Linked DNA regions of Notamacropus eugenii. The protein of the gene in region 1 purifies or fractionates together with the protein of each later gene. This does not show direct contact. Links are inferred from orthologs where the notes say so. Each region holds a gene or a part of one and is shown in the gene's direction. Other genes may lie near its edges. The genes, in order: EIF4E, HHEX, eukaryotic translation initiation factor 3 subunit F-like and ANGEL1.

Region 1 (7,409 bases):
TCTGCCGAAATGTACTCCAAACTTGACATTCCAGGTTTTCTCTCATGCCTTTGTACAAATTCTGTGTCTGGAATGTCATTCTTCCTCATGTCTGGGGCCACTGATGTGCAAAGCCTTTTCTGAGACCCTTAGTTGCTAAGTGTTCTCCCCCTACTTGGTTATCTTATTTTCTTAACGTTGGGTCTCTTTTGTGTGTGAGTTGGACTAGAGAGCCAATAAACATACATCTCTCAAATAGGCTATATATCCAGATGAATATAAAATCTTCATGAGAAATAATATTTTGTTTCTTGTCACTGCTTAGAATAATGTATTTTTTTAAGCACTGCTTTTAGTAAGTACTTAGTTGTTGAATTCAAAGCCACAGAATTTCAGAACTGGAAGGGCCTTCAAACGCAGTCACCACTGATCCAACCCATCCATATCTGGAAAAAAAAATCCCCAATACAACATACCTGACAGAGATCATTCAACTTTTGTTTGAAGATTTCAGGTAAGGGGTGTGTGTGTGTGTGTATATGGGGGAGGGAGGGAACTGGGCTCTTCTCTCAATTCCACTTCTGGTTGGCTCTCATTGTCAAGTTTTTCTGTACCAAAAGCCAACATGTCTTTTTATAATTTTCATGGGTTGCTCCTAGTTCTGTCTCTGAACAAACCTAATCTTTCCACGACAGCCTTTCAAATACTCAATAGTTGCCATGCCCTTACCCTGTCTTCTATTCTCCAAGCAGATATCCCTACCTTTTTTCAAATAACCTTTCAGTGTCTTAGTTGCCCTTTCTCTGAACCCTCATTTATTCAAGGAGAATGATGAAAGGGGAAAAAGACTTCAGCCACAGTCAGAGGTCCTGAGTTCAGCTGTCAGCTCTAGGTCTTACTACCCCTTGTGCAGCTGGGCAAGTCACATCTTCTCTGGTCCTCACTTTCCTCATATGTAAAATAAGGGGGCTAGACTAAGCATTCTCCAAGGTCTCTCTCAGTTCTTTTATGTAGGACTCTATGTAGTTGCCATGCCCTTACCCTGTCTTCTATTCTCCAAGCAGATATCCCTACCTTTTTTCAAATAACCTTTCAGTGTCTTAGTTGCCCTTTCTCTGAACCCTCATTTATTCAAGGAGAATGATGAAAGGGGAAAAAGACTTCAGCCACAGTCAGAGGTCCTGAGTTCAGCTGTCAGCTCTAGGTCTTACTACCCCTTGTGCAGCTGGGCAAGTCACATCTTCTCTGGTCCTCACTTTCCTCATATGTAAAATAAGGGGGCTAGACTAAGCATTCTCCAAGGTCTCTCTCAGTTCTTTTATGTAGGACTCTATGCTATGTTCTGCCTAAAATGTCATGCCCAGAACTGAACACAATCCCTGCAGATGTGATCTGAACAGGGCAGAGCGCAGTGAAACAATCACCCTCTTACTCACATACCTGTCTTCATGCATCTTAAGAATGATTTAGCTTCTTGGCTGCCACATGTCATTGCTAATTGCTACTAACTGAATCTGTAGTTAAATAAATTCCCTAGTTCTTTTTCACATGAATTGCTGTCTGGCCACACTTCCCCATGTCTTGTATTTGTGGGACTTTTTCAACATGTGTAACACTTTACATTTATTCCTATTGTTTCATATTATTAAGTCTCAATCCAGTGTTCTAGCCCATCAAGGTCTTTTGGAATCCTGAATGTCATCCAATGTGTATTCCTCCACCTTGGTATCAGCTATGAATTTGACAAACATGTCAACCTGGTCTTTATCCAAAATGCTGCTAAAAATTCCTGGGGCATACCATTGAAGATTTCCTCCTGAAATAACTTAAAGCCATTAATGCTGACTCTTGGGGCTCAGCCATCAACCAGCTATAAATTCTTCTGTATTTTGTCATATAGCTTACACCTCTCCATCTTTCCACCAGAACAACATGCCAAATCCTTTGCTAAAACTTTTGCACTGCCCTATTTTAACAGCTTAATAACCCTGACAAAAAAAGGAAATGAGGTTAGTCTGGCATGACCTGTTTTTGATGATGCCATGCTGACTCTTTGGGATCACTCCTTCCTCTTAGAGATGAATTTAAAGATGTTTGAAATAAATTAAGAAACTGATCTAAGTGAACAATCTTAGATTCCTTTCAGCCACAATATTCCAACTGATCTATTGTTTTTGAAATTGTTCACAACTTTTATATAAAAGGACTTAGTTACCTAATACCAGTCAGGGAGTAAGCAAGATCTAGTTAGAAATGCTGGATATTCCCTTAGAAAATCTTTAGAAACTACCTCCAGAATAAGCATTATCTTTACTCTTACGGAGCAACACAGTAGCAGATACAGTCCATCAAATTGTGAGCACTTCGTCAAGGCTTCTAGGAATGCCTAACCCGTATTATCTTGTTTTTGTTTGGAGGTACCAAAAGAAAATTGGTAAATCAACGTGTTTGAATATCCACTCTGACAGAGACTGATAAGGAAGATGCTACTAGGGGAACAAAATAAATAGGCATGAACTGTTTTTTTGCAAACTTTACAATCCACTGAAATTATTTTAAATTTATGAAAGATGAGATGAAAAATACACCCAAGAAAACACTCAAACTAAACAAATCCAGCTGTAAAATGCTTGGTATATACATAAATATCAGGAAGGTGCTGGAGTGATTAGAAATCGATCTTTTTTCTCAAGAACTCAATTTTTTTTTCCCATAATGCAAACAGGATCTGGATTCAAGGAAGGAAATGATTAACAAGGTTAGTCTTTGTAAAAAAAAAAACTTTATTATGTGAACTGATTTAAATTTTATGGGTAGGGGACTTCCATTTCTGCTTCACTTTTCCTCTGGTTCCTGCAATAAAGTCTGGTATTATGGAAACAGCCTTAAGAATTTTGCAAGAAGGTAGTCTGATGGTGGCCACTATTAAGAAGAAAATACCAGTAAAATCAAAAGTTTTTGACTATTTTAAGCAAGAATGGTATTTTCTATAGAGATATCTTTTTTATCCTCTTTAATTTTGTCGGAATTCTTGTCTAATACATCTATACAAAATAAAAGTCTGTTACATTCATTACCTTGGGCACTCAAAGTCAATCTATAGACGAAAAGATGATGACCTTGAGGCCCACGGGCAGCCCCAATGATGTGCAAGCCAATTCAGCTTCCATTATGCACTCAACAATAGGTATGACACTGCCTCGGACATCAGCTTCAGTAACAGCAGGCAGGTATATGCCATAGTGGTAACTTTCTGAGACGACATTCTTCAAGGCATGGGAAATAGTGGCGGGGGGGAGTTCCTCAAAGGGCCCTCTTGGTAGCGCATTACCAGACTTCTTTTTCTGTACCAGTTTTATTAATAAACAGACCATGTGCAATAGCACCGACCTGGAACATTCTAGGTACTGAGCAGAGGGGAGGGGGTCCAGGGTGACACATCGCCCAGGGCTGGGGGCGGATTTCAACGCAGTCCCCGTCAATTTCAGTGAAACTGACCATCTGCCGGAGGGAATTTACCTGGGAGGGGGTTGGGAGTGGGCTTTTTTTTTATGGGGGGGATTCATGATTAGCCGGCCCACCCGGAGAGGTGGTTAGGCGAGGCCGCAGCTACTGCCCCTCTCGGGCCGGGAACCCCACCCCCCAGGCCGGGGCGGCCGCGCGCCCTTGTGAGGTAAGGCAGCTTTGAGACCGCAGGCGGGAAAAGCCCAGGCCCCCGCGAGGCAGTCACTGGCCGGGGGCCCGGGCTCATTGTTTGCCAGGCCCCGCCAGCCCCGGCCGTCAGTCCGGCGCTGGGTGACCAGGGCCGCCGGGTGCTGCTCCGGGGGGGGGGACTGGCCTCAGGCGCCTGACGCGGCTGGACACCGAGCACCGAACGCCGGGCCTCCGAAGGCCCACTCCCGCCCCCGCTGCTAGGGCCCACTCCGGGCAGGCATGGCCGGGAGGCGCCAGCGCTAGCCGCGTCCCGGCCCCGCGCCGTCCCGCCGGCCGCTCGTCCCCGCTGCTCCTTTCCGTTCACTAATAAATAGAGAAGAGAATGAAGGCGGCCGTGAGGACCAGGGTGGCGGGAGGAACCAACGACGCCAAGTGAAGGCGGCCCCGGGAGCCTTGCGGAGGCGCCCAGCCAATGAGGTTTCTTCCTGTGAGCTGAGCCCACGGGGATGATGGGAAGCCGGGGGACGGCGGCGCACCGACGGCTCTAACGCGGAGGAAGAACGCAAGACGGAGGAGACCCCCTCCCGCCGCAGCCTCACTTTCGCAACCGGACCGAGCCCCACCTCTGCCTCACCTTCCTAGCCCCACTCACCCGCCCGCAGCTCAGCGCCGCACCGCCTCCGTAGCCACGTGATCAGTCCTCTTCCCAGCCTTCCTCCTCACTTAAGGGGAGGGGAGGGAGAGGGGGAAAAAAAGACTCCACTTCCCAGAAGCCCTCGGTTACCCACGCACCCGCCACCTTGCGCAGGCGCTGCCCGAGCCAAACGGACACGCTCGTCACGTGGGGGGCGACCGGCCAATCCGGTTTGAATTTCATTTTTTTACTCTTACCCCCCCTTCAGGAGCGGTTGTCTGATCAGATCGATCTAAGATGGCGACTGTGGAACCGGTGAGTGTTGCCTTCGGCCCCCCCACCCCCTACCGGGTCCCCGCGCCCGGTTCCCCTGGGGCCTGGGAGACTCCGCGGGACTGCGCTCCCGGCGCGCACGCAAACTCCTCGCCGCCCCCTCCCCCTCTGTCGGGCGCTGACCTCCCGGCGACTGCGGTGACTGGGGGCGCCGGGGAGGCGGCTGCGGCGTGTAGCGCACACATTCTAGTGGGGGCAGGCGAGACGAGAGAAGAGGTGGGGGAGGGGCGGCGGGGAGCCAGCGGCGGTGTGAGCGCGAGGTGCCCGGATGGGGGAGGAGGGAGGGAGGGAGGAGGGCTAGGGGCCGGGTGGGGAAGTTGCGGGACACGGGGCCGGGGCCCGAGCTGGGGGGGGGGGGGGGCAGGCGGTGGGATCGGGGCTCTCCGGTCGGGGCTGGTGGCGAGCGCGTGGGGCGAGGAGTACGGCGAGGGTCGGCGGCGGCGCCACCGGCCGTCGTGGGGACGTGCGCCGGCGGTCCGCGAGGTGAATGTCGGGGGTTGGTGGGGCGGGCGGCGGCACGCGCGGAGGGCCTGCACCACGCCGGCCGCCGGGGCGCGGGGAGCGCGCGCGAGCGAGCCGCCGGCCGGGGTTGGGGGGCACGGGGGGCCGAGGGCGGGGGGCGGCTCCGCCTGGCGGTGCGCGACCGCGGCCCGGGGGAGCCGGGGCGGGAGCACCTTGCGTGCCCTCCTGGGCGCCGGCCCGGACTGTGCGGGAGGAGCGATGGCGAGGGGCGGGGGCCGGGCCGGGCCGGCTTCGGACTGCCCTCGGCCCTCCATTCATTCATCCTTGCCCCCGGTGTGCGCATTGCGCATGCCTTGGACAGTGGGAAGAGGCCCGAGTCTTCGATCCCTCCGAGGCCAGATGGATTGGTAAATTGACCCCGTTGGGCGGAACTTGTGACGAACTGGGGCTTTTATTTCTCGCCGGTCTCTCTTCCCTCCCGGTCGGGTCCAGACAGCCGCAGCTTAGACCGGGAGAAGCAGACAGACCTAGGGTAGGCAGTGCCCTGCACTCCCCAAAGGGGGCTGGAACATGTGTCCCTTGGTGGGGCTTACCATCTGCCCTTCTGGCCGAGGCCTCCAAAGCCCCTACGTGGCAGTTTTAAATCTATAAAACACCCAGACTCCGAAGCACCTCGATGACACTTGAACTGAATGAACAGTTTCATAGCAAATGACTTGAAATCTTAATAATTCCTTCAGAACTTTTTCCTTTTACAGTTAGCAGTTCTCTCCATTTCATTGAGGAATTCTTTCCTTAGTTCCCCACCCCTAGTTGTGTTCATAGGGACCATACATTTCTGCCGTGCTTGTTATGTCCTTAGAAAAGTAGTTACAGTTGTGAAAAGTACTTTGATCATTCAGCCTTCTGGTTTTTTTTTTCCGGTGATTGAAAAACTTACCCGACCTGTGTAGTCTCATTAAAGTTGCTTTTTTATACACACATATATGTGATTTAAATAGAGCTCGTTTTATATATGAGGTCCAGAGATGTTAAAAACTATGACCTATTAAGTATTTGAGCCAAAATCTTCATCAACTCCAAATTCAATGCTTTTCCTAGTATACCTTATTACTTTGTTCTGGGCCTTCTTACGGAATGATTCCCCCAGACTTGCACAAAGTAGGTTTTTTAAATTACTTCTGCACTTACATTGATTTTTTTGATAAAGGGTTGATAAAGGGTTTGTACAAATGTTGGGGAATAAATTTGTTAGCTTTAGAACTCTTAAGGTTCTGCTACAAAAAGAGGGCAGGATATTTAATTTTACATACGAACAAAGCATTAACTTTTAAAATATTTGCAGGTCTTTAAGTCTATGTCAAATTGAACCTTGTGTAGCGTTCACTATACAAGTTTACCCCTGGAACCAAGTTAGTAGTAGTAGGAGTAAAGTAAAATAACTTTTAAAACAGTAGTGTAGTTCCACAAAGAATTCTTAATATTTGGGGATTTTCAAAACTATACAGTATTGCTTTGATTACCACATAGCCAGTACTAACTCAGACAACAGATTAAACAGTTCTGGATTGCATTCTACCAGATACCAGCCTATAATTTGAAAAACTAGCATGTTGATTCAGGTGGCTTGGGAGTCTTACAATGAGCATTTACTACCATGATTTCTTTTTACCTGTCCTTTTTTCAAGTAGGTATTTAGAAAGCTGCTATGTATCTGGAATCATTTGAGTTTTGATACTGCTTTTGTAACATTTGATCTTGTGGAAATAGATACATCAAAAAATATGTAACCTTTTGGTTTAGGATTTACAAAATACCAATGTGTTGGATATAGTGTTTTTAACTCTGAAACAAACTTATTAATATCTAAATATTTGAGAACAATTTGAGAACAATTTCAAGTTTTATCTAATGACTCAGTAAAGTGTGTAATTAAAATGTAGGTTGCTTTATTCTCATTCTTGTTCTTTGAACTTAATTTCAAACCAAAAACTTCTTTTTCCTAGACTACTAGGTAATTTTAAAAAAAGTTTTACAAATAAGTATGTTCACCTGGTTTCAGTTTGGCTTGGTTTGGTTTAGTAATGATGCAACCTGCATCTCTTAGCTCTGTAAACAGAAGTGTAGTTTGAATCAGACTTGATTATAATGTTTTATAGGAAAACAGCTTTTGTATAGATATCTTAAATTCATCATGATTAAATCTTAAGCTAGCATTTTGTATTCTTAATGATTCAGCTACTCCTGAGGCTAAGGTCCCTGTCTCTTGGACACAGAATATGTAAAACTTTCTTTTTCAGTTTTCCTTTGTGAAAAGAGAACATTTTATTTTCTCATTTCTTGAGAG
Region 2 (7,645 bases), on another chromosome or scaffold:
CACTTTACAAATATTATCTCATTTGATCCTCACAATAACCCTGGGAAGTAGGTGCTATGATTATCCCCATTTTATAGCTATTATTATTTTCAGGCAACTGCTAATCCTGAATCCCACATGCATGAGTTTTTTCATCATCAGAAATAGACCAAATTCCCAAATTTATCTTAGTCCCCAGTGGAAGAAATCATAGGCAAGAACCACCTTACTATATAGTTTAGCCTTTTGCACAACAGGAGTGATGAAAATAAATGCTGCCAAAATTTTGGAAAAGCATCTTGTTTAATTCAGAATATAATTAAAATCTCATGTAGTTTTTATTGGTTTTAGTATCCAGCAGAGAAGAAATATTGAAACTCCAAGACCTTTTGTATTAAATAGCCACAACAGTTCTGTTTTTATTAGTTCTGACTGTGTGAAAAAAATCATAAGGACCCTGTTGAAAAAACCCGGGTTTTTTTTTAAAGCCCCGAATGACTTTTAAAACAATAAAATAAACTATAAAACCTACACTAGTGATATTAAAAAATTATGTTGTTCAATAAATGTGACATTCATGAATGTGGGTGTAATAGTGTTCAAGCTTTAGCAAAGTGGACCCAGGTCTAACAATTGAATTTGAAAGAAGTGGTGTTATATAACTTAGGAGAATTAAGTGTTTCAATGTCCCCATCAAGAGTATGCAGTTGTGGTGGAATGCCAAAGCCTGGCCACTAAGCCTCTCACTTCCAACTAGAATCAATTACTAAACGAAAAGGCAAAAAAAAAGTCTCTCTCCTCTATGTTGGTCTCTATTTTCCCAGTCTTTCAATCCATATATTTTCTGAACATTAATTTCATTTCAGATAATTTCCCATGATGGGTTGTGTCACCTTAGAGTAAAGAGTATGTGTATGTGTGTTTCAAGGATTAGGGGTGGGAGGCAGAGTAGGGTGAATTTATGTCATAAACTCTATTCAGTGGACCAATTTATTGAGTGACTATAGTGTTTACCCAGTTCCTATGGAGGAGAACAAAGGGGGTGGTCATCAAGTTACTGTAAACAGGCTAATAAGAAAGGAAATATAAATATATATGTATATATGTGTATGCATATATTGTGCATATGTGCACATATATGTGTATATATGCTCACATACATGTGTATATGTGTGTGTATAATTTGAGTACTTTGAAATACTTTACAAAATACTTTATCTTCTTGATATCTATCTTGATCCTCAGGAGAATGCCCAGGATTTAGTTTAGCATATGTTGTCTCTCCCACGTATGCAACATTGTAGTAAAGTGAGACACACCAGCATGGAAGAAGATGGCTGGTCTCTGCCTTAAATGATACAATAGACATAAATTATACAAGGTAAAATGGGGAGAAAGAGAGAGAGAGAGAGAGAGAGAGAGAGAGAGAGAGAGAAAGAGGCAAAAAGGGAGAGGGAGAAGGAATGAGGGAAAGAGATTTAGATAGAGACCTCCAGGAAAATCTGAGAGGATAACACTTTGGTGGTGGGAGGGATGATCAGTAGAGTATGGGGGAAAAAAGGTGTCATCTATGATGAGCCTTGAGAGGAAAAAAAAGACCTTGAACAGCCTCCGTGGTAGGTCAGAACTACAAGCCTTACTGTTGTCCCATCTCACTTATGGTCACATAAGTAGCAAGAACCAGAGGCAGAATTTGAGCCTAAGGTCTCTTCTAACTCCATCCTGTGTTGCAGTCCACCAGTCTGTCTAGGAGTGCTTCCCAGCTTCACTTTCCCCTCCAAATCTCCTGGGGGAGGTTTTTAATAAAAATATTGCCCTTGTTTGCCAGATAAGACCACGGCTACTATTAAATACATGGCAAAATGAGGAACATTAACTTGAGATCTAGCAACGATATTAGAGATCATCTGGTCCAACCACATTATTTTACAGATGAGGAAACTGAGGTGAAATGGTTTACCTGAAATTGTGTGCCTCATCTGTAAAATGGGTACGATATCAGTGGTAGTTATCTCACGAAAGAGCTGAGGAACAAGTGAAAAAATACGTAATTCATTTTGCCAATCTTAAGGTCCTACATAAAACAGCCTCCCGCAATCTCTGCTACTGAGTAGCAGGTGAGATTAGAATCTAGGTTCCGCTCTCCCTCTTTCCACAACGTTAAAAAACAAACAAAAAAAAGCACAAAAAATAAACATAAAAACCTCTACAAATCTTATACTAAGAGTTGAAACTAACACAAGAGAGGAAGCGATTTTTCTCAAGGGCTGGAATTAAAATCTAGTACAACTATATGAAGAACAGGCTGGTGGGGTTTTTTGTTTAACTCATTGATTCCCAAATTACCTCCACCTATCGTTTGAAGGTGTGTTTCTGCCTTAAGTTTCATAATTTAAAAAACAGCTTGGTTACAAACATGTGTGTGTATATCTATATCTATTGATCCTGTCTCCAATTCTCGCCTCCGTCCGAGGAGTGAGGGTTTCAGAAGGATGGGCAGAAGGATACCCACTTTCCTGCCTTGCCACAGGTGAGGGAAACTCTCAATGAGTCAGTTTCGCAGATGGGGAGTTTAGAATCCAGACGGCCCGGGATGGATAAGCGTGGCAGCGTTGTTTCAAGGCCAAAGAATAGCTACCAGAGCCCTCCCGGGAATGTGGCCAAAGACCGGTCAAGTCCCTGCAGAGGGGCGTTGGTCAGGAAAGAGCCTTCTTCTAAAGACGAAGGGGACCCTAAGTCTTTTTTTCCTAATCACTGCCTTCCAAGCATTTCCGTGGAAGAGATTTCAATAAAAAACATCTGGAAAGGGAGAGGACCGAGTTCCGGAGAGCTGTATGAATAGAAAAAAAAAAAGATTGGAAAATGGGGTCCTGCTAAGAAGGCTGAACGAAATGTAAGGAACGCTGGATTTGGAGTACAAAAGCTTAGGTCTGCTAATTGGTAGTTGTGTGATCTTGGATTAGTCACTGGACTTCGTTCCCAAAGTTTCCAACTTTGTAAAGTAAGGTAGTTGGACTAGATAATGTTTAAAAATACTGGAATCTCATAATTTCTACTATTTTCGTGAAATCTCTTCCTCTCATATTTATTTGAAAATATGAATAATGAGGACCTGGAGTCCAGGATTAATGGATAGCTTTCAGGGAGTTCATGCACTTGGTTGGATGGAGGGAAAATCACACCTTTGTTTTCACTAACTTCTAACTGAAATTTAGCATTTCCTTCCATCAAGAATTCTGAGTCCTTAGGTTTCACCAGACGCCAAAGGGACTAGATGGTCTTTATGCCCTCTTCCAGATCTAAATCTTATGATCCTTTGGCCATGTTTAAAGCTAAGGGTATGGTAACACATTCTCCTTTTTTGCATCGTCATTATTATTAATAATAACAATAACAGCTAATATTTATAGAGCGCTTTCAGTTTGTAAAATTCTTTGCCTGTATTGCCATCTAATTAGAGCCCAACAACTCTTCGAGTTGTTGCTATTGCAACAACTATTATTATCCCCATTTTATGGATGAGGAAATTAGGATTGAAAGAGTTTGGTAATTTGCCCGGGGTCCCACGCCTAGTTCAGAGTAACTGACTGGAGCTGAAAGGTCTTCCACTTTTTCAGACTAGCTCACTCTTCATAAATTATGCCACAATGCTTCACCCAGATGGTTGACTTTATAATTAGAAGGAAAAAAAAGGCTTTTTAAAGGAAATTTGAGAATCTTAAATTCTCTTTGGAAGAACTGAGCATTTTCAGTCCGCTAAAAGTCCAGCTTTCGTCTTGAAGACCCAATGAAGTGATAGAGAACCACGAATCTAGCCTGTTAATGGCATTAGATAGTAGTAGCAGGCGGTTTGGATCTGAAAGGCATTCAAGGCGTTTGTGACTCAGTTTTAGTGTTCTCACTTAAACCGCTCCCCCTTCACCCTTCCTTCCACCCCATTCCTCCAAGTTTTGATTGGGAAAAGTCGTGGCAAGGCGCTACCTGAACCTCGCCTGCCCAGAACCGTTGCCTGCACCACCGCCCTGACTAGGGGTCCAACAGGGTCCCTTCCCCACCAGGAGCTCTCCGCTGCCGGAACTTCAGCTGAGGAGGGTGGCTTAAGTAGAGGTCCCATAGCGTGGGCCCAAGACATCTGGGAGGATCTGGAGGCATGTTCTTCCACTGCCGCTCCTGCTCCAGACCCAAAACATCGACAGCGGACTACTCAGGTCCAAGCCCTGAACGGGTCGGGGTAAAAAAGGTCCGCCCGGGCCGCAGGGCTGGGAGCTACCGCTGGGCGCTTCCCCACCCAGCCCTTCCCTTTTACCGCTCACTCTCCTGGGCTCTCCCCTGGGGGCACGACACTGGCTCGGGATGCGGACTGGGAGAGCTAGGTGCCGCCTCTTCTTGGGCTCCCGGGGAAGACAGTACGTAGCCCCGCATCTGGACTGGAGGCCCGGAGCGGCCAGGAGCTGGGGACCAAGGCCGGGTCACCCCTCGGCTCCGGGGGGCGGAGAGCCGCGGGAGGGAGCGGGGGCGGGAGAAGGCGGTCCAGGGGCAGGGGCGGGAGGCGACTCTCGGGGCCCAGCCCCATTGGCCATCGGGCCCTGCGGCAGGAAGGGGACAGGGACTAGGCGGCCCCACCCCGAAGCCGGACGAGCCTATCGCCGGGAGCGCGAAGCCCGGATAAATGTAGCGCCGGGAGGCGGGAGGGCTGCTTACAGAGGGGCTGCCAGTCAGTCAAGCGGCAGCCATGCAGTACCCGCACCCCGGGCCTGGGGCCACCGTGGGGGTCCCCCTGTACGCGCCGACCCCGCTGCTGCAGCCCGTGCACCCGACGCCCTTCTACATCGAGGACATCTTGGGTAGGGGAGCCGGGCCCCCGATGACGCCCGCTGCTCCCACCCCAACCCCCACTCCCACCCTGCCTTCCCCCAACTCCTCTTTCACCAGCCTCGTGTCCTCCTACCGGACTCCAATCTACGAGCCCACGCCGATCCACCCCGCCTTCTCCCACCACCCGGCCGCGCTGGCCGCCACTTACGGGGCGGGCACCTTCGCGGGCCCTCTCTACCCCTTTCCCCGGACGGTGAACGACTACACGCACGCCCTGCTCCGGCACGACCCCCTGGGTAAGGTGGCCGAGGGCAGCGTGGGGGGGAGTGTGTCACTCGCTGGCGGCAGCTCTGGGGCGTTGGCGCTGGTCCTTGGCGAGGGCGTGGGCGGGCAGGAGCCAGCAATTGAAAGTCATAGAAAAAGCCATAGAAAACGCCGGCCTTGGCCTCAGAATGCGCGGCCCAGAAAAGGGAGCAGGGGCTGGCCCGGCTTGGACTACCCTCCCTCTTGTCTTGCTAGTTCTCAGTCGGGACTCTGATCACACTGGTGACTCAGATTGGTTTTCCTGCATCTCCCCCACTGACCCCAGGATAAATAGCTTTGTGGCAGTATGTGGTCAGAACCAGACTGGGTGCCCACAGGGGCTCCTCGGGGTAGCCACTGGACTTGGACGAAGCTGTGCGCTTTCGGTGCCGAGAGATTAACATTGTCTCGCATTCGTTGAAGAGTCAGTCTCCATGGGGGAAGCGGTTTAGGGAGGCGGCAGGGCCGGTTTGTGAAGAAGGCTCAGGGAGAACGAAAGGGGTGCACATCATTAAATGGGTTCAGGGGAGCCCCGATCCCTTTGTGGCACTGATAGCCTCAAGCAGCCTTGGTGCTTACAAGGCTGGACTTGGTTCAACAAGTTTGTGCAGCGAAAAGAGCCTGACCCTTTCCGTTCATACAGGAAATCTTGAGTTCTCGATAGGAGTAAATCTGGTTTCAGAAGCTGTTAAGTGTTTTCCTGGCTGCGTGGAGCAGCCCCTTCCCCGGGAGTCGTGCACGCTGCTGATTATTTTATCGACATCCTCAATACAGACAAATTCAGGAAACACTCGACTTCTGATAGCCGGGATCCGTTTTTCTGATATTGTTCATTTCCTCTGTGTGGGATGTGACTTTATGGCAGCTAAAATAACCAGTTGCTTCCTATTTTTTTTTTTTTTGAGGCTGTTTTGCACCAGTCTGTAGGCTGACGCAAGCAAAATCTCGAAAAACAATACTAGAATTTCAAAGGTTTCAGACGCAGACCGACGGGACGGACAGACCAAAGAACGCAAGAGTCCCTGGACCTGAGCGGGGCCGGCGCCCAGGAGCCTGCACGCCCAAGAAAGCTACATTTGATTTGGCCTGGTTGTTGGCCCGTGCCCTTTGCTGGCCAGTTGGGCAGTGATTGCAACTGAGTCCTAACTCAGGCTCTAGTCCCAGGAAACTTGCCGCAGTTTTGCCCCGGTCTGTGTAAATTTTCATGGATGCGTTGTTAAAACGCAGAATCGGGCCGCGGGGAGAAACAGACTCACTTTTCCTAAACCGAGTAGTGATGTCGAAGTCCTTCCCAGTAAAAGGAAGATTAAAGGAGTGGATTCACAAATAGCTGCCTCAAACGACCCCCACCCACTCCTTCCCATTTCAGGCGCTGCAGCGAAAGGTTCTGGGTTAGAGCAGGTTAGGCTAGTTAGGTTGTTGTGTTTCCAGCCTCGCTGGACCTGCCTCCCTAGGATCTCTGAGGTTGGCACTCGGGGAGGACGTTTGCACAGAGAATGCACAGTGAGTTTCCTTGGGTTACGACTGTGAAAGAGCAGAAGGAAGCATGGGGTTTTTCGAGATAGACCAACAGGAAACACATTGACGGAAATGTTGCCATAGCCCTAGGGGTGGCTTTAACTGGCCTCCTCAGAGAGCCTGGTGTGAAATCAGAGGAGCCAGAAGAATCACACTTAAAGAAGATTGAAAATTCTTGGTGCACCCTGGAACGTAGGCGAGCCAAATCTGAATCGCAGAGGGACCTTAACAGGAGCAGCTTGCTTCCTTCCCCACGAAAGCTTTCGTTAGCTCCACGTAGGCTAATAGAGAAATAGTGTAAGGGGCCACTTCTGTGGTTTTTTGGTGTGACATTCAATCCTACCAGTGTATTTGAACTCCACCCAGTCAGGGGGTCTTTGGCAGATGAATGGTGGTGTGGAGGGGAGGTGGCGAGGAGGAGTAAGAATAACATCTCATACTTATACAATCTCGTTCCTCAAAATATCTTTGGAAGTAGGTTCTGCAAATACATTCTCTCTTTACAGATGAGGAAACTGAGGCTTGGAGGGAAGTGCAGTGCTTTTGTAATTGAGTTCTGGTGAATTGCCTAACAAGGATTATATAGCCAGCCAGTCAGTTAACATTTACTAAGCACCTACTATGCGTTAGGCACCGAGCTAATTGCTAAGGATACAAAAGAGAAGCAAAAGATAGTCCCTACCCACGATTTAATGGGGGGGACAACAAGCAAACAAATATATACAAACAAGATATAGACAGGATACCTAGGAAATAATTAAAAGAGAGAAGGCACTAGAATTAAGTGACAGGGAAAGATTTCCTACAGAAGATGGGATTTTATTTGGAACTTAAAAAGAAATCAGGTTAGTTACTAACACTAGTTAGTAAGTGACATTGTCAGGACCCCAATCCTACTTTTTTGACTCCAAGACTTGGATAACAGATATAAAATTTCTATATAAGTATGAGCTATGATTAAACATCTGTGTATATGGTCAAGAATGACATTAAGTTGCAGTTAAAAATCTGAATAATTTGTCATTCCTAA
Region 3 (8,007 bases), on another chromosome or scaffold:
AACTCTCCAGTGCCTCCTGTGAAACACCCAGATTTGACCTTAGGAAGATGAGTCTTTCTGACTCCAGGCCCGGCACTCCACTGTGCTACCTAACTTCCCCAGTAGTCCCCCTCTTTTGAAGGATATGATTCCTTTACCTTCCCCATATTTTCACATTCCCCATCTGGCCAATAGGAGGCACAACTCTGAGAGAATTATCAGGCTAACTCCCTTGTATGCACAGATTAGTGGAAAAGTTGTTAAGTGATTTGTCTTTAACATTCATTTTTTGACAGATTAGGAACTGGTTTAGAAATCAAAGAGCAAAAATGAAGAAATGTAAAGAATGGCCCATAAGAACAAATGTCCAAGTAAGTAAAATTGGTCCTCAAAGCTCTGGGAATCCTTACGCTATGTTAGAGAAATACTTAAAAGCCTTGAGTGCCTCAGAGAGGTCCCAAGAAGTTGATGTGACAAAATGTCTAGGTGGAGAAGCTTACCTAATGGCTAATGCCATGCAATTTAGCAGATATTATCAAATCAGGAGATAATCAGCTTAGGAGGACACTGCCCCATAAGGCTAACACTGATTTTGAAAATGCGGATGACCTGTATTCAGTGACCGACTTTCAAGAGTCCTTCCTCATTTTTGAACAAGCCTCTACTGTTATTAATAAGAGGTGGTGGTGTGTGATGTTACAAGGCTACCGAATGAGGGAGAAAAGGAAGAAGGCTCTCTCAGTCACAGTGATGAAGGAAAAATGGAATGTTCAGATGGGATTGTGGAGTTAAGGAAATGAGGGGAGTACAGAAGTTGTATGAGCCTCATTCAGGCCAAGTGATGAGTGGATGTCACCAGGTGCTGCTAATCTGTGCTTGTCCTTTTCTTCACTGTAGAAAACATTCTAGAGAAAGAGGTGCTAAATTCCAGGAAAGAAGGAAAGGTTGGGGAAACTCAGCATTTCTGCAATTTCTATAGCCACGATTTGGAGAGTCTGTTTTGAAATGGTCCTAATTCTTTGAGGTGTATTGAGGCATCACTTTCTTTGGAATGAAGGAGGGATTCCTATTTTTTTTTCTACCTCATTTTCTCCCTCCTCCCAACACTGCTTTAACACCTTCATTTCAAAACCATAACTTTTTTTTTTTTTTTTTTTGCTTGATGGTCCTAAGCTAAGAGGTATATACACGTCAGCTCTCATATACCCTCCATTGTTGAGGGCCACAAAAATGCAGGTTACAAAAGTACATTTAAGAGTTTCATCGGTTGGGATGACCTAATAATAATTCTTTTGTCTCTTCCCTAGGCAGACTCTGTCCTAGGAAAAAACCAACTTCATTCAAGCAATTGGAGTCTCCAAGCTTGTTCTAGACCTTCATCCTTGAGTCCTTTCCAATCAAATCCAACGGAAATGAATGTTTATACTCCTCTTAACAACTTTTATCAATCTTTAAATGTCTGTTTTTATCTCCCAGTTTCTAATAATTTCAGTGTTGCTGGGCTGAATTTGAAAGCACATTCAATTCTATTGAATATGAGAGCTATGTCTTAAAGAAATGCCATTTGGTTAAATGTAACTAGAGGAAAGATATTTTACACACAGAATTTGTCAACTGCCATTGGGGGAGGGGCAATAAAAATACAAAGAAATACTTTGATGTTGGCTCATCTTGTTGGCAGGAGTAACACTTAAATGGATTTATAATTAACTTGTTGGGCCTAATGCTGAAAAGTCTTTGTTATGCCAGGCTCAAGTCTTTCCCAACGTCAGACTAAAAAGTTTATCCTTCAAATTCGAGCCCTCAGACCATCTGAGTTTCTCAATCTCCTCTTTATTAAGGGGTGAACTCAATGGAGTGAGGTTACAGGGGGAGAAAGGTATTAACCTTTATGGGGAGATGCTTCTGGTAGAACCCTAAAGGCAAAAAGTGATCAAAGCCCAGATGTTCAGAATTTCTCCATAATTCTGATCCACCTTCTACACCACCTCAGTGAAGTAGAGCTCCATGTCTGAAAATCTTCACAGGAATTTGGCCCATTTCTCAGAACGAGGGAATCATCTTTGGGTAACCTTTCTAACTAAGAGTTCAGATCTGACCAGAGCTATTTGGGAATGTGCCCCAGGTGAGATGACCCAGGGCAGGATGAGGGTGATATGAGTCTCTTCACCCTCTTTTCTGGGGTGCCTTTCCTCTCACTTCTGAGGAGAATAACCAGATTATTTGTAGTTCTCTCCTCATGGCTAGTGCCACACTCCATGGTCTATGACTATCAGATCTCTCTACCCCAGATTAGATTACCTGGATCTGAAGGGACCAGAGCCCACTGCCATTCTTGTCACTCATCCTCCTTTCTCAGGCCCTGGTCATATAGCAAGGGAGAATTTTTCCCCTCTTCCACTCCCATCATCTCTGACATTCCTTCTTCTATGCTCCTCAACCTTTTCACTGGCATAAGTAAACCATCAAGCCACAGGGATATACAGATGTTCAGGGAAGACTAGCATCTCCCATATGAGGCTTTCTGAGCCCTTTTCAGAGCTACTAATCCACCTTTGGTGTTCACCTGACACTCAATTCTCTGAAAAGGAAATAGATTGTCCTGTGACAATCATGGGGGTGTGGGGTGAAGGGCTCTCTCCCTTATTCATTGCTAGCAAGATTCTTGCCAGAATCCTCCTTAATTGAATAGGCTAATCCTTCCCCTGGAAGATGGTCATCTACTCAAGAGCCAGTGTGGCTTCAGAAATAGCTGAGAAATGGTTGATATAGTATCTGCTGCCCAACAGCTCCAGGAAAAGAAATGTCAGGAGAGAACAAAGGTCTGTGCACAACATTTGTTGATCTGACCTAGATCTTTTATACTGACAGTCATGAGGGTTTGTGGAAAACTGCGGAAAAATTTGGTTGCCAAGAGGAGTTCATCAGATTGTATGCCAGTTCCATGATGGCATGTCTGTACAGGTTCTGGATAATGTATATCTTTCATGCTCTCACAGGTCAGATCTGTATGCTGGCTCCCATACTCTTTGGTATGATGTTTTCAGTGGTGTTGTCAGACACCTTCAACAAGAATGAAAGTAGCATCAAGGTCAGTTATACACTGCCAATAAATTATTTCACTTAAAAAGGCTACAAGGCAAGTCTAACGTGGAGGAAGAATTGGTTTGTAACTTTTTGTTCACAAATGATTGTGCACTCAATGCCTCTGAGGCTGAGACTCAATAGAGGATGGAGCAATTCCCTCCTTATGCTAATTTTGATCTAATAATTAACATTAAGAAAACAGAGGTTCTCCACTAACCATCACCATGCCATTCATACATGGAACCATCAGTTACAGCAAATAGAGAAAATTTGAATACTGTGGATAAGCTCACTTACTTTAGCAGTATACCTTTTGGGGGGCAGGGGAGCAACGAAGTCTTGAAGTGGATAAAGCAGCAGGTTTGGAGTTAGGAAGATTCATCTTATGAGTTCAAAAAGTCACTTAATCCTGTTTGCCTCTGTTTCCTCATCTGTCAAGTGAAAATGGCAAATCACTCCAGTATCTTTGCCAAGAAGACCCCAAATGAGGTTATAAAGAATCAGACCCAACTGAAACATGACAGAATAACAACAACAACAAATTCCAGGAATGTGCTTATAGCTGATGAATTGAAGCATTGCCAAAGCTAGCTCAGTGTTTGGAAGTCTCCAAAGAAAAGTGTGGGAAAGAAGAGGTTGTGCTGACATCATTGTTGTACACCTGTAAAACCTGAACAGTCTACCAGTATCATTCCTGGAAACTGAATGGCTTCCACTTGAATTATCTTAGGAAGATTCAGAAGATCACCTGCAAGTTAAGGTATTGGACACTAAGGCCCCTTCTAGAGCTGAACTGGCAAGCATTTAAACTGTAATGCAGAGAGTGCAACTCGGAGGGGCTGGCCACATTGTTGCAATGCCAAACATACACTTGCCTAAAAGACTATTTTACTCACAGCTGGCAAGCACCCACATGGAGGTAAGAAGAAGCAGTACAAGGACACTCTCAAGGTCTCTCTGAAGAACTTTGGAATCCATTGTGAGACATGGGAGATCCTGGCACAGGACCATCCTTGTCGTTTCTCCAACTAGCAGGGTGACAGGTTCTGTGCCTCTTCCCCCAATATTCCCAGAACTCTTACTGACAGACTGCAGTATTTTCCCTGACTACATCTATCCTGTTTAAATTTAATCAATTGGCTTATGTACTTTTTTATATTGTCTGTATTATATTTGTATTATTTCTATTTGGGGGGACACTCATAGTTGATGCCTGAAGACATTCTTTCAAATAGATTTCCTTTAGGAACTTCACCCTAACCTTAATTTCACTCTAACCCTAGCCCTGATCCTAAACGTTACCCTAACTTTTCTTGCACAAGAGATAGGTGATATCAAGAGACGGGGGAATTTTAACAGCAGTGGTAATTCATTCTTATAGGGGTCAAGCATACCCAGCTTTTCAACCTAGCCATCTAAAAAGAAGCAAGTGGGGAGGGTAGTGTCTCCATGAAAAGCATGTGATTGTTTTGACTCCACTGTCTTCATTCTGTACTATTTCATATTAACAATGATTTGCATGCAATAGGAATGAATGGAAGCAAAAGCCTCTATGGACAAGCACGTTCCGGAGAAATACAACGTAAGAGTCAGATACCGGACTTTAACACTTGAATTGCTGAGTTTCGTTTACAAAGAAAGGGAAAAAAAAAGTTTGTCGAGTTACAATGTAGCAACTGCCAGTCCTGTGTGTCCCGGAACTCTCCTGTACGAGACACAAGTCCGGAGGGGGAGCGAATTCTCGACGGAACTGAGGCGAGAACAGGAAGTTCCTGTGCCCCACGGCCCCGAATCAAGAGAGGGCGGTCCCTTCGTTCCCCGAGACTGATCCGTAGCCAATAAGCAAGTTTCGTGCCTGAGGCTGGACCTATAGCGAGGCTCCCTTTCCTTGGACCTGCCTTCCCTCTGTACTTCCGCCTCTCCTTTCTTCCTTTCGTGCTTCGGCAACATGGCGGCTATGACGGCCGCCTCGGGTTCCTCCCCGACTTCCACCCCGGCCCCGACTCCAACCCCGGCGTCCGCCCCGGATCCCGCCCCGGCCTCCTCCCCAGCCCCCGCCCCGGCCCCACCGCAGGGCCAGGGCCAAGCTCCGGCGTCGGCGCCTCCGCCGGCCGCCCCGACCCCGGCTCCGGTGCAGGCCCCCCTCGGGCCTGGGCTCCCCGGGCCGTTCCCCGGCGGCCGCGTGGTCCGGCTGCACCCGGTCATCCTCGCTTCCATCGTGGACAGCTACGAGCGTCGCAACGAGGGCGCAGGCCGCGTCATCGGCACTCTGCTGGGTAAGCGGCGCCCCCTCCCCGGAGAGGCCGCCTCTCGGGGCCTCGGTCCCTCCGTCTGTAAAACCAGGGCGTCGGGCGGGCGGGCGTTCCAAGCGTAGAGACAGTCCCTGGTCCTGCTTGTCTTGGGGGCGGGGGCCGGGGCCGGGGCCGGGCAGCGTCCAGCCGCGTGCCGGTGCCTTTGCCGGGCCCCGAGCTTCTGGCCGAATTGACGGAGGACGGCTTAGCCGAGTGAAGCTCTCTGAGAGTCCCCGGGTCCGGACCGGTGGGGAGATGAGGGGAGGGGGCGTCACGCGGGTTCGGACCAGCGGGGACATCCCACATCACCCCACGACCGTCGCGGCCGCTGCCGGGGGGCAGGCTCGAGCCGGTGGTAGTGGAAGGGGAGGCATGGATCCCGTCCGGGCACCGCTCTCTTTCCTGTCTCGGAGATGGGCATCTCAGGGCCCTCTTCAGGCTATCCCCGTGCCCGGTTAGGTGCCAGTCTTGTCGTTTTGTTTCCGCATCTTTCCAGCCTGGCACTAGCTTTGGCAGCTTCCTGACTGGCCGTCGTGAGCCGTCCCACGGGAGGCTGCCAGGGCGAACTTACTAAAGCGTGATTCCGCCCGTGCCACGCTCCTGCCAAAGCACTCATGGCTGTGTTGTGACGTACGTGGGTATTAGCGCAGTAGTCTGTGCAAATTACGTGTAGGTAAATCCGCACACGCTGGGAAGTGCCCTCTGAAGTGTTTTACTGATAGGGATGCACAGCCAAGACTGCTGCATTAAGCGGTGGAGGCGAGATCCAAAAAGATCTGAAGGAGAACCGGAACATCACAGGCTTGCTCGCTACCCTGCACCCACCAGTAGGGCATACATGGTTCTGCAGGAATTTAAGTACCTTCATTTTGAATAACTGGCCGTTCTTTTTACACAGTGGCTGGAAGCCTGCCCCAGGTCCTTCTTTGTTGTTACTGTAGGCAGTTGATTAGCCTTTCTCAGTTTCCTCATCTATAATTTGGGGTGGTAATAGCCCCTTTTCACACAGTTATGATTATAAAGTGAGGTGGCTTAGTAAAGCACCTAACAGACCTTAAAGTGCCATGTAAACGCTAGCTGTTCTTATTCTTGGCTTTTCATATAGACCATGAGCTTCCTGGGGCCAGGATTTTGTCTTAGAATCCTTTACCCTCTTGATCCTTAGCGCAGGCCTGGCAGGCAGCAGGTGCGCCATTGATCCACAGCCCCAGGGGACATGGAGGTGCAGGTATTGGCATCATAAGTTTAGGGAACACTTGTGTTGACATTCCTCATTTTCTTTTTCTCATAGGAACAATTGACAAACACTCAGTAGAAGTCACCAACTGCTTTTCCGTGCCACATAATGAGTCTGAGGATGAGGTGAGTTTGGGCATGGACCATAATTGGGAGTTCTCCTGCTTCCCATCAGCTAGTCTGTGACCAGAGCTCCCACAGGAACCACTTTTACTTGCCCTGCAGCAGAACACAAGGTTAGAGCTTCTAAAACCAGTCAGTTGTACTGCTTTTGTATTGGGAGTCTGATATTATCACTTATAGGATAGAGACTGCTTCTTTAAGTGTCCTTTTCTTTATTCCACTGTCTCCCAAGTTTCATCACTGGGGGGATCAGTTGCTTGGTTTTTAACCATGAATTTCGTGTTCTCTTGTATAGGTTGCTGTGGACATGGAATTTGCTAAAAATATGTATGAATTGCACAAGAAAGTCTCTCCAAGTGAGCTTATCCTGGGCTGGTAAGTCAAGCTCCAAATTGGGGCAGGGCAAGGCAAGATAGAAAGTCCGTCAGTACTGGTTGGTGAAACTTTGGTAATAATAAGCATGCTGCTTTTGAGACAGCTATTTTCCTTTGACGTCCCAGGCCTGGCTCTATGGAGCAACGTTAAAATTAGGAGCAAGTTCTTTAAAAGATCAGTCTACCAACAAATATTTATTAAGCATCTGCTGTATGCTGGTCACTGTGCTATGTGTTCAGGATATAGAAAGAATGAAAAATTATTTCTCATGAAGGTTATGTTCCATCGTAGGAAGTGTACATGGAATAAATGTAAAATAAGTACCTAAGAAATGCTTCATTTACTCATTCACTGAGTTAGGTATGTCCAGTAAACAATAGTTGGTGGAAGACTGAATCTCAGGAAATTGGAGTGGTGGTGATAATTAAACTAATTTTGTGGGAGCTAATGAGGTCCTAAGAGAAAGAGTTTAGGGAGAAGAAAGCTAAAGACAGAGACCTCAGAAACTTCCACATTTAAGGACATGATATCCGTGGGATTATTCTAGTTTGCCTGTGGTTTTTTAGCCAAGATGCTGGAACACTACAAGATTTTGTGTTTGTTCCTGGGGCTGTTTAGAATGAGATCATTTCCTGGTGCATATCATCTTCCATTTTCTTCCCCTGGCCTTTCAGGATTTTTCTTTTTATTGGAGTCAGGAAAACCTGGGTTCAAGTCTTAAATTTGACACAGACTTTTTCTGTGTTTCTGTAAGTCAATTAACTTCTTAACAGCAGAGCAGTTGCTGATGTGTATTGGTGTAGGGGCTGTCTTCCTCAGGAGCTTCCTGTACAAGGAAAAGAAGGGAGTGAGCTCTTAGTTTGGGGGGTTATATCCATTGCTATTTACCATATTAGAAATATTAGAATATTTTACC
Region 4 (7,889 bases), about 76 Mb from region 1:
ATTGGGGAAATAAAATACAATTTACCAAAAAAACCAAAAAACAAAAAGTGTATCAATAGCTTCTTGTAATCCTGTTGAAAAATCTCTTCTTCCCATTTAAATTAAAAAAAAGAAAAGAAAACCCTTGTAATAAATACGCTTAATCAAGCCAAAGAAATTTCCCCTTTGTACCTGAAAAATTGAATGCTGGAACTCTTGAATTTGGGAGATAGCATCCCCAGACTTCATTTCATCTTCACAATAACCCTGGGAGACAGATACTATTATTATTCCCATTTACAGATTAGAAAACTGAGGCAGAGGTTAAATGACTTTCCCAGGATCACACAGCTAATAAGTATTTAAGGCCATATTTGAACTCAGGACTCCTTAACTCTAGGCCCAGTTTTCTCTCCTTTGCATCACCTTGCTGCCTCAGCAGTTCTTTAGTGTAGCCAAATTCAGAGTAACTCCTACCCAGGTTCCATTTTCTGTAATGGAAACTCATTCAGACTCTCTGCTAAGGCATAATTGAAATTATGATTTGTATTGATAGGAGTGCCCATACCAATAGAACCAGATCCCTGAAGAACTGAATTCCTGAAGAGAGCCATGTGTACTCATTGCATCAGCTTGGCAAGCACTTTAAAAACTTGGAAATATCTTGGGGTATCTCTGCTAGATAATATGTTCCTTGAAGGAATCAAAGGGGTAACATGGTGTAGTAGAGTTCTAGACTTTGAGGTAAGAAGATGTAGGTTCAAATCCTCCCTCAGATACTCACTAGCTGTTTGACCCTGGGTAAGTCACTTAACTTCTGTCTCCTACCAGATGAGAGGGGTTGAGGTTAATGATCTTCAAGTTTTCCTTGCAGCTCCAAATCTACACTGTTATGACTGGGTCTCTCCTAGCACCTAATAGAGTGATGAATGAAAAATTATTTCTCAAGCACTTACTCTGTGCCAAATGCTGGATCACAATGAAGTGACCTGTGTGATGTTGGGCAAGGCAATGAACATTTCTGGGCCTCAGTTTCCCCAACTTTAAAGTGAAGAATTGAATTAACTGATCTCTGATGTCTTGGGTCAGCTCCAGCCTCCAGTGATAATTTAACATCCCCAAAGCTGGTGGGGAGAATTTTCATGGATAATGCAAGAAGATTTTCCCAGTCCTCCTTTATCTTTTTGCCTTCCCTGTGATGATTACCTCTGTGTATATTTTGTTGGCACATGGTTGTTTGCACGTTGTCTCCCCCAGCTAGACTGCGAGTTCCTTGAGAATAGGGACTGTTTTTTATTCTTATTTTTTGCTTTCATTTGTATCCCCACTGCTTAGCATAATGCTTGGCTTAAAGGTGCTTAAATGTTATTGAGTTGATTTGACTAATGGGAAGCAAGTGATGGAGTATAGTGGGAAAAGCCCTGGGTTTGGTGCTAAGGACCCTAGTTAGCTCTATTTCTTCATAACATCTATGACCTTGGGCAAGTCAGTTCTTCCTTGGCTTTGGTTTCCTCATCTGCAGAGTAAGGAGGATGAACCAAGAACTCACTATAGTCTAAATCTGTTGTTGTTCAGTTGTGTCTGACTCTTTGTAACCCCATTTGGGATTTTCTTGGCAACAATACTAGAGTGGTTGCCACTTCCTTCTTCAGCTCATTTTCCAGATGAAGAGACTGAGGGCAAACAGGGTAAAGTGACTTGCTCAGGTTCACACAGCTAGTAAGTGTCTGCGGTCGGATTTGAACTCAGGTCCTCCTGACTCCAAGTGCTCTAACCCTGCAGCATTTAGCTGCCCTGGTCTAAATCTGTGTTCCCACTAAACTCCTATCCCACATGTTTAAAAGTGCAGATGGTGTCTTTGCCTTTTCAGAAGTCTGAAACTGGAGTTGATGAAGTGATCTTGAATCTTGGCTCTTATTATTTACTACCCGTGAGACTTTGGTCAAGTCTTAACCTCTCTGGGCCTTAATTTCTAAGACTCTGAGATCCCTCCTAGCTCTTGCGTTTTTAATTCATAGCCTCTCATCCAACCCTTTAGGGGTTTGTGTTCTTAGTCTGGACTTCAAGCAAGCAAAAGCAGCAGTTTTCAAACTAGCCAGGCTGGGTGTCACAGGGTCCCCACCCTCTTACTGACGAGGCAGTTTATGCTATTGCCATGCTGTCTTATGTCCCATGTACATTTGCAGACCCAGCCCCCTTGCTCACCAGAAACTCACCCAGAAACAAACAACAGAAGCCAAAGTTATCACAAGGGGTTGATGTCATGGGGACCTAAGCCAGGGGCTGGGTGGAAGAGGGTGAGGCAGGAAGAAAGATGTTCGTGAACCACTTTGCTGCAGAGAGCAGACCCAGCTCTGAGCTCTGGTATCCGTCCCCACAACAGGGCAGCAGGTGACATGGGGGAAAGAGAATAGAGGTGGGGTGCTAGAGGAGGAGAGGGAATGCCTCCTCTCCACCAGCACTGGCAAGAGCATTCTTCTTGGGCATGGGACTCATTAATATAGAATGCCTCTGATGTGATCTAGACTGATGTCAGCCCTAGCACCAGTAAGGTCTGTAGCCACTGCCTTCCATGCCTCTGAAGCTCATCAATATCTCCTCCCCAGTGGTGACCTGGAATTTGCCTCTGGATCCCATGGCCCAGATAGATCAGCTTTTTCCTTATCTCACTAGGGACTGAATCTTCATGATCCAAAAAATGCCACTCCCTCCCCCTTTCCCCTTCTGCTTTCTCCTTCCCTCCTCCTTGTTAGAATGTTATTGTCTTGAGGACAAAGGCTGTCTTACTTGTTTATATGTGTGTCTCAAGTGCTTAGTACAGTCCTAGTACATAATGGGGGGCAGCTAGGAGGTGCAGTGAATAGAATGTTGGACCTGGAGTCAGAAAGATCTGAATTCAAATCCGGCCTCAGACACTAGCTGTGTGACCCTGGGCAAGTCACTTAATCCTGTTTGCCTCAGTTCCTCATCTGTAAAATGAGTTAGAAAAGGAAATGGCAAACCATTCCAGGATCTTTGCCAAGAAAATCTCAAATGGGGTCTCAAAAAATCAGACATGATTGAAAAACAATTGAATGGCAACTATACATACTAAAAGCATAATAAGTACTCTACCCACCAACTTACTTATCCGTCTCTCTGTCTGTCTCTCTCTGTCTGTCTCCGTCTCTCTCTGTCTCTGTCTCTCTCTGTCTCTGTCTCTGTCTCTGTCTCTCTTTCTCTCCTGAGTTCCTCACTAGATTTCTGTTACAACCTGATCATATTCATCATGTGCTTCTCCCTTGTCCTCTGGGCCATGATCATTTTTAGCTTTTTGAAGGCAATAGTGTTCCATGTCTCCTTGTACTATAGCAACATGGGGAAAATGTTAATATTGAAAAACCAGTCCTTTGCTTTCTGGGGAGGGTTGGGCCATAAGAGTCCTCTCCAAGGTTCTAATCCAATGCTTCATCCTGGATGGTGTGGAGGCAATCTTGGTTCTGGAAGGCTGTACTAGTGGAACACAAATTCTGGTCTATTCTGGTAAACTTGATGGACAACCTTACAGTGTGACTCCAGTAACAGACGGACTCCACTTTCCAGGAATCAACTTGACTAATAATAGAGAGGTACATCACCCATTGGCTGGTCACCTGATAAGAAATTATTTGGGCCATTGCAACACATGAAACAAAGAAAACTGTACATGAAATTGCAGATCTCTATTAGGTACAACTCGCTTTTCTTTTTTAAGTATGTAATAAGATCCACCTATAAGATCTGTATTGATTGTCTGGCTTTCTTTCTGGCCTGACTTCTGTTCTTTTCTCTCCATTAAAAAAAGATACTTCAATGAGCCTTCCTTCCTTCTTTCCTTCCTTCCTTCCCCCTCTCTCTCCTTCCTTCCTCTCTCCTTCCTTATCTCCTTTCTTTCTTCCTTCTTTCTCTCTCCTTTCTTCTTTCCTCCTTCCCTCTTTCCTTTCTTTCTCTTCCTTACTTCTTTCCTCTTTGTTTTTTTCTTTTCCTTCCATTCTCTTCTTCCTTTCTTTCTTTCATCTGGCATATAATAAGTGTTTAATAGATGCCTATTGCCTGACTGACTTTTCATTGGGCACACCATATTTATATGGTGCTTTTCAGTCAATAGACCACTTTATATAGATTATCTTACCTGATCTTCATTCAATTCTGCAAAGTCAATAATAGTTGAGAGGGACTAAATCATTGGCCCAGGGAACTCCTGGGTAAGGAAATTCTAGTAATTCAGGTCAACACCTTCTCTACAGTTTATATTTTGGCTACTGAGAGGGTAAATGCTTTTCCCAGAGTCATATAGCCAGTACGTGTGAAGAGAGAGAATTTGAATTCACATACCCTTGGCTGCTTGACCAGCTTGCTAGAATAATTGTTAACTCATTTTATTGAAAAGAAACTGAGACTCAGAGAAGTGACTTGCTGAAATTCACACAGACTTTGACTCCAAATCCATTCCTTTTTCCTTCATGTCACTCTGATGTGCTCTTTGTGGGTTAGTACAATGCATAGTGTGTGTGTGTTTGTTGGGGGAGGGTATGAAATTAACAACAGCAAATGTTATGAAAAAGTCTGCTTGATTCTTTCATGGGCTGAGTTGTGGAGGGAGTGAGATACACAGACACAAAGTAGCCTATTGCTTTCTTCTCAAGGTTCTTGCAAGGTTCTCCCATCCACCCTGGCCCCAGTTTTAAGTCTTGTCCTTGGAAGTTGCCCACTGCTTCAGTGTATCGTATTGACTAGCCCACAACTTGTTACATGAACTTAGATGAAATTTCTCCCTCTCTCCCCCCACCAAGATAAATAAAACCATCTATGTAATCTGGCTTTCAAGCCTGGAATACTTTGCCTAAGTCTTTCTTAATTGGTGGTGAGAATGAGGATGACTCAATGCATCAAGTCTGTGTGAGGGTGGAGTTGGTGGGAGAACTCTGGAGGAGAGAGACATTCTTTATTCTTCTTTTGAAAGGACACACATGATTCCAGATTTCCTTCAGGACTGACTCCAGTGAGGAAAAAGAAAAAAAAGTCTTTGGAAGTGGCAAACATGTAAGGGATGTTGATGCCTTGACATGTCCCTGATTTCCAGCCTGCCTCCCTAGAGACCTTGGGAATTTCTCTTTTGGTGAGATTGAAGTCTCTCTTGGCTGAGTGAGAGCTCCTCTTGCTCTCATCTACAGAACTCATTAACTCATATCTTTTCTGGTATATTCTAATCTGCAGCATTTCTTCAATTTCTGTTTATCTGCTTTGGTAAATGGGTTAACCCACTATTAGCTATTTGTGATAGCCTTTTTTTATAACTAGTCTTTGGTGAGAAAGAGCCAAGCCAGTGAGTATAAATTTGGGCTACTCTCTCCCTTTATGGTATAGTGGCCACAAAAGTATCTTGAACTTAAAATAGTGTCTTTAGAGTAGCAATTTTTAGGGAAGCAGTTGAATATTGTTCTAGTATGGCAAGGCAAGCATCTTTCTTAGAGGAGAACCAGCCTTTTCATCTCTTTTACTCCCCTCAAGACAAGAATCATAGTCTTTCTTGGAGAGGGTTGGGCAAGATTTCCTAGATATTTATGCTTGCCAACCCCTCAGGCCACTTGTTTATATATTTAGACATCCCACATAGATATACATGGGCAACACACACCTTACCACCTTACCTCTATATCTAACATTCCTTGAAAAGAGCAAGGGTTGGAACTCACTTGGGGTCACTATATGGTCCCTAGACAAAGATATTGCTGCAGAAACTTGAGAGAAGAGATTCTAAAGGGCATTTGGCATCTCTTTGCAGGGGAAAAAAGGGAAAGAGGACAGAGGACAGAAAGAACTGGAGAGGTAAGGACAGCTTGGCTTTGGGGACAGAGGGAAGATAACATTTATTATTCAAAATAAACAAGAGTCTGGGGTGGGGGTGGAGAGAATGAATGTGGAATCTTGTTAATGATTCCTGATCACAGACACTGGGGAGCCACTACTTAAAAATTTTAATCCAAAGTGATCCTGGGGAAAATCAAAGAACATAGTGTGTTGTAGTTACAAGAATATAGGATTTGGCTTCAAATCCTAGTCATGATACAACCTGTGTGACATCAGAAAAAAATTGCTTAATGCTCTTGTCCTCACTTTTTTCATCTGTAGAATGAACGAGTTTATAGATGAAGAATAGAAAAGATCTTAGAAATCTCAGTCCAACCCTCTCATTTTATAGATGAAGAAAGTGTGGTCAAGCACAAGATCACATATAAATAAAATGAAATGAAATTAAAAATAAATAAAAATAAAATAGAAGCAGGATTTGAATCAGAATCCTTTGACTTTGGAATCAATTAATGATTGTTTCACTGTCACAATGACTGAGATTGTGCTAAGGCCTTTCTATGGTAGGACTTGTAGAACTAAGGGTTAGTTTTTGCTGTGACAGCTTTGCCTACCTTGTGGAGTAGGCAGCCTGAAGGAAGAGTTTTCAAAGAGAGGAATTCTTAAATCATTTTCTTAATTTGGATAGTGCCATCTTGATTTCTAGGTCTAAGCCTCTTTCCACCATATTTTCCCCAACAAATAGTTACAGAACCATGGAATTCCACACCCAGTGCTTACATAGGAGCAGAGAGAGAAGAAGTGGGTTCTGATCCAGGAGCTGTCTACTATCTGAATGTATGTTTTTAATATTTTTGAACATCAAGATGTTTCTGTGAACTTGTAAGTAGGGAGAGGTATGGGAGGAGAATTTCAGCAACTTTTTCAGTGCTCTTTTCACTCTGAGAGCTTTGGTATACCCTCAGATAATCTTTCTGGTCTTTCCTTTTAATATACCAGTTTTCCATATGTCCATATGAGTTTCCATATATCTACCTACCAGAGTCCATTGATGAGAGGCTTTGAAATCTTAGATGAGTGTCTTTTTTTTTTTTTGAGGTGTTTAAGGAAAGAAGACCATACAGCTTAACTGGAGACAGCTGAGGAAATAAGAGGCAAGGAAAAGCATAGAAGGGTACCAGGGCAGCCCAATATAGTTCTCATACTGAGGCCATGACTGACACCTCCAAAATAGGAGACTGTCAACTCTGACATACTAGGGACAGGACTACTACTCCCAAAATAGGGATAGGACTCCAAAGCAGGAGGATATTGACTTTGCCACGCTGGAGACAGAACTTCCCACTCCCAAGAGAGGAAAGAGTCAGGAAAGAGATTCATATCCAACAATATTATTTGAAAACCTCTAGCCCGATAGTTTTCAGGTCTTGGTAGAATACAGTAGTCTAGGATTCTTGAGTCTCTGCTGCCTCAAGACAGCTCACCCATCTAGGGGTAGGATCTTGTCACAGCAGCTCCCAAATCAGAGCTGCATAGGCATTTTGTAGGGATGGAAGGGGTCCTATTTGACCCTTCCTTGTGTCTGGTTGGCTTCCAAACTTTTGGTGGAACTGCCTTGGCAGAGAGGCACCCATCAGCTAGAAAACTACAAGTTTCAAATCTGGAAGGTTGCAGAAAAAATCCAAATATTGTGGGAGTGGGGATAGAAAAGCAATAGGATTAAGGAAGCATCCAGAAGGAGGTGGAATATGGAATAACAGCAACAACTAGTATTTAAATAACCTTTAAGATTTGCAAAAGCACTTTACAAATATCTCATCTTATCCTCACAACAACCCTGAAAATTAGGTACTATTATCGCTCCATTTTACAGATGAAGAATGGAAGTTAGGTACTATTATTGTTTCATTTTACCGATGAAGAAACTGAGGCAGGTGATTGTTAAGTGACTGTAGAATAGAAGACCAGGCCAGTGAAACCAGAATTCTGTCTGAACATAATTTGTATACCCCCAGTTTCTGGACTGATTCCAAATGATCCTTTTCCTATGTTGGTATGGGCTTGGATTCCTGGGCACCTCT

What was found.
Region 2: the proteins of EIF4E (region 1) and HHEX purify together in Homo sapiens (affinity purification with western blotting; 3 studies listed by BioGRID and IntAct, with this or other methods). This does not show direct contact. The link is inferred for Notamacropus eugenii from reciprocal best matches to the Homo sapiens genes EIF4E and HHEX.
Region 3: the proteins of EIF4E (region 1) and eukaryotic translation initiation factor 3 subunit F-like purify together in Homo sapiens (affinity purification with mass spectrometry; 3 studies listed by BioGRID and IntAct, with this or other methods). This does not show direct contact. The link is inferred for Notamacropus eugenii from reciprocal best matches to the Homo sapiens genes EIF4E and EIF3F.
Region 4: the proteins of EIF4E (region 1) and ANGEL1 purify together in Homo sapiens (affinity purification with mass spectrometry; 3 studies listed by BioGRID and IntAct, counting the BioPlex papers as one, with this or other methods). This does not show direct contact. The link is inferred for Notamacropus eugenii from reciprocal best matches to the Homo sapiens genes EIF4E and ANGEL1.

The regions. Positions count from the first base shown.
Region 1 is NC_092878.1:136,684,986-136,692,394, reverse strand, and holds the start of EIF4E (eukaryotic translation initiation factor 4E), read left to right. Parts: upstream 1-4,405; 5' UTR 4,406-4,564; coding exon 4,565-4,582; intron 4,583-4,981; exon of another isoform or gene 4,982-5,083; intron 5,084-5,388; exon of another isoform or gene 5,389-5,469; intron 5,470-7,409. UniProt on the Homo sapiens protein: Acts in the cytoplasm to initiate and regulate protein synthesis and is required in the nucleus for export of a subset of mRNAs from the nucleus to the cytoplasm which promotes processes such as RNA capping, processing and splicing.
Region 2 is NC_092872.1:209,358,532-209,366,176, forward strand, and holds the start of HHEX (hematopoietically-expressed homeobox protein HHEX), read left to right. Parts: upstream 1-4,639; 5' UTR 4,640-4,711; coding exon 4,712-5,090; intron 5,091-7,645. UniProt on the Homo sapiens protein: Recognizes the DNA sequence 5'-ATTAA-3'. Transcriptional repressor. Activator of WNT-mediated transcription in conjunction with CTNNB1.
Region 3 is NC_092877.1:31,464,339-31,472,345, forward strand, and holds the start of eukaryotic translation initiation factor 3 subunit F-like, read left to right. Parts: upstream 1-4,991; 5' UTR 4,992-5,014; coding exon 5,015-5,342; intron 5,343-6,648; coding exon 6,649-6,719; intron 6,720-7,011; coding exon 7,012-7,091; intron 7,092-8,007. UniProt on the Homo sapiens protein: Component of the eukaryotic translation initiation factor 3 (eIF-3) complex, which is required for several steps in the initiation of protein synthesis.
Region 4 is NC_092878.1:60,402,246-60,410,134, reverse strand, and holds the start of ANGEL1 (protein angel homolog 1), read left to right. Parts: upstream 1-4,880; 5' UTR 4,881-5,116; intron 5,117-5,782; 5' UTR 5,783-5,826; intron 5,827-7,889.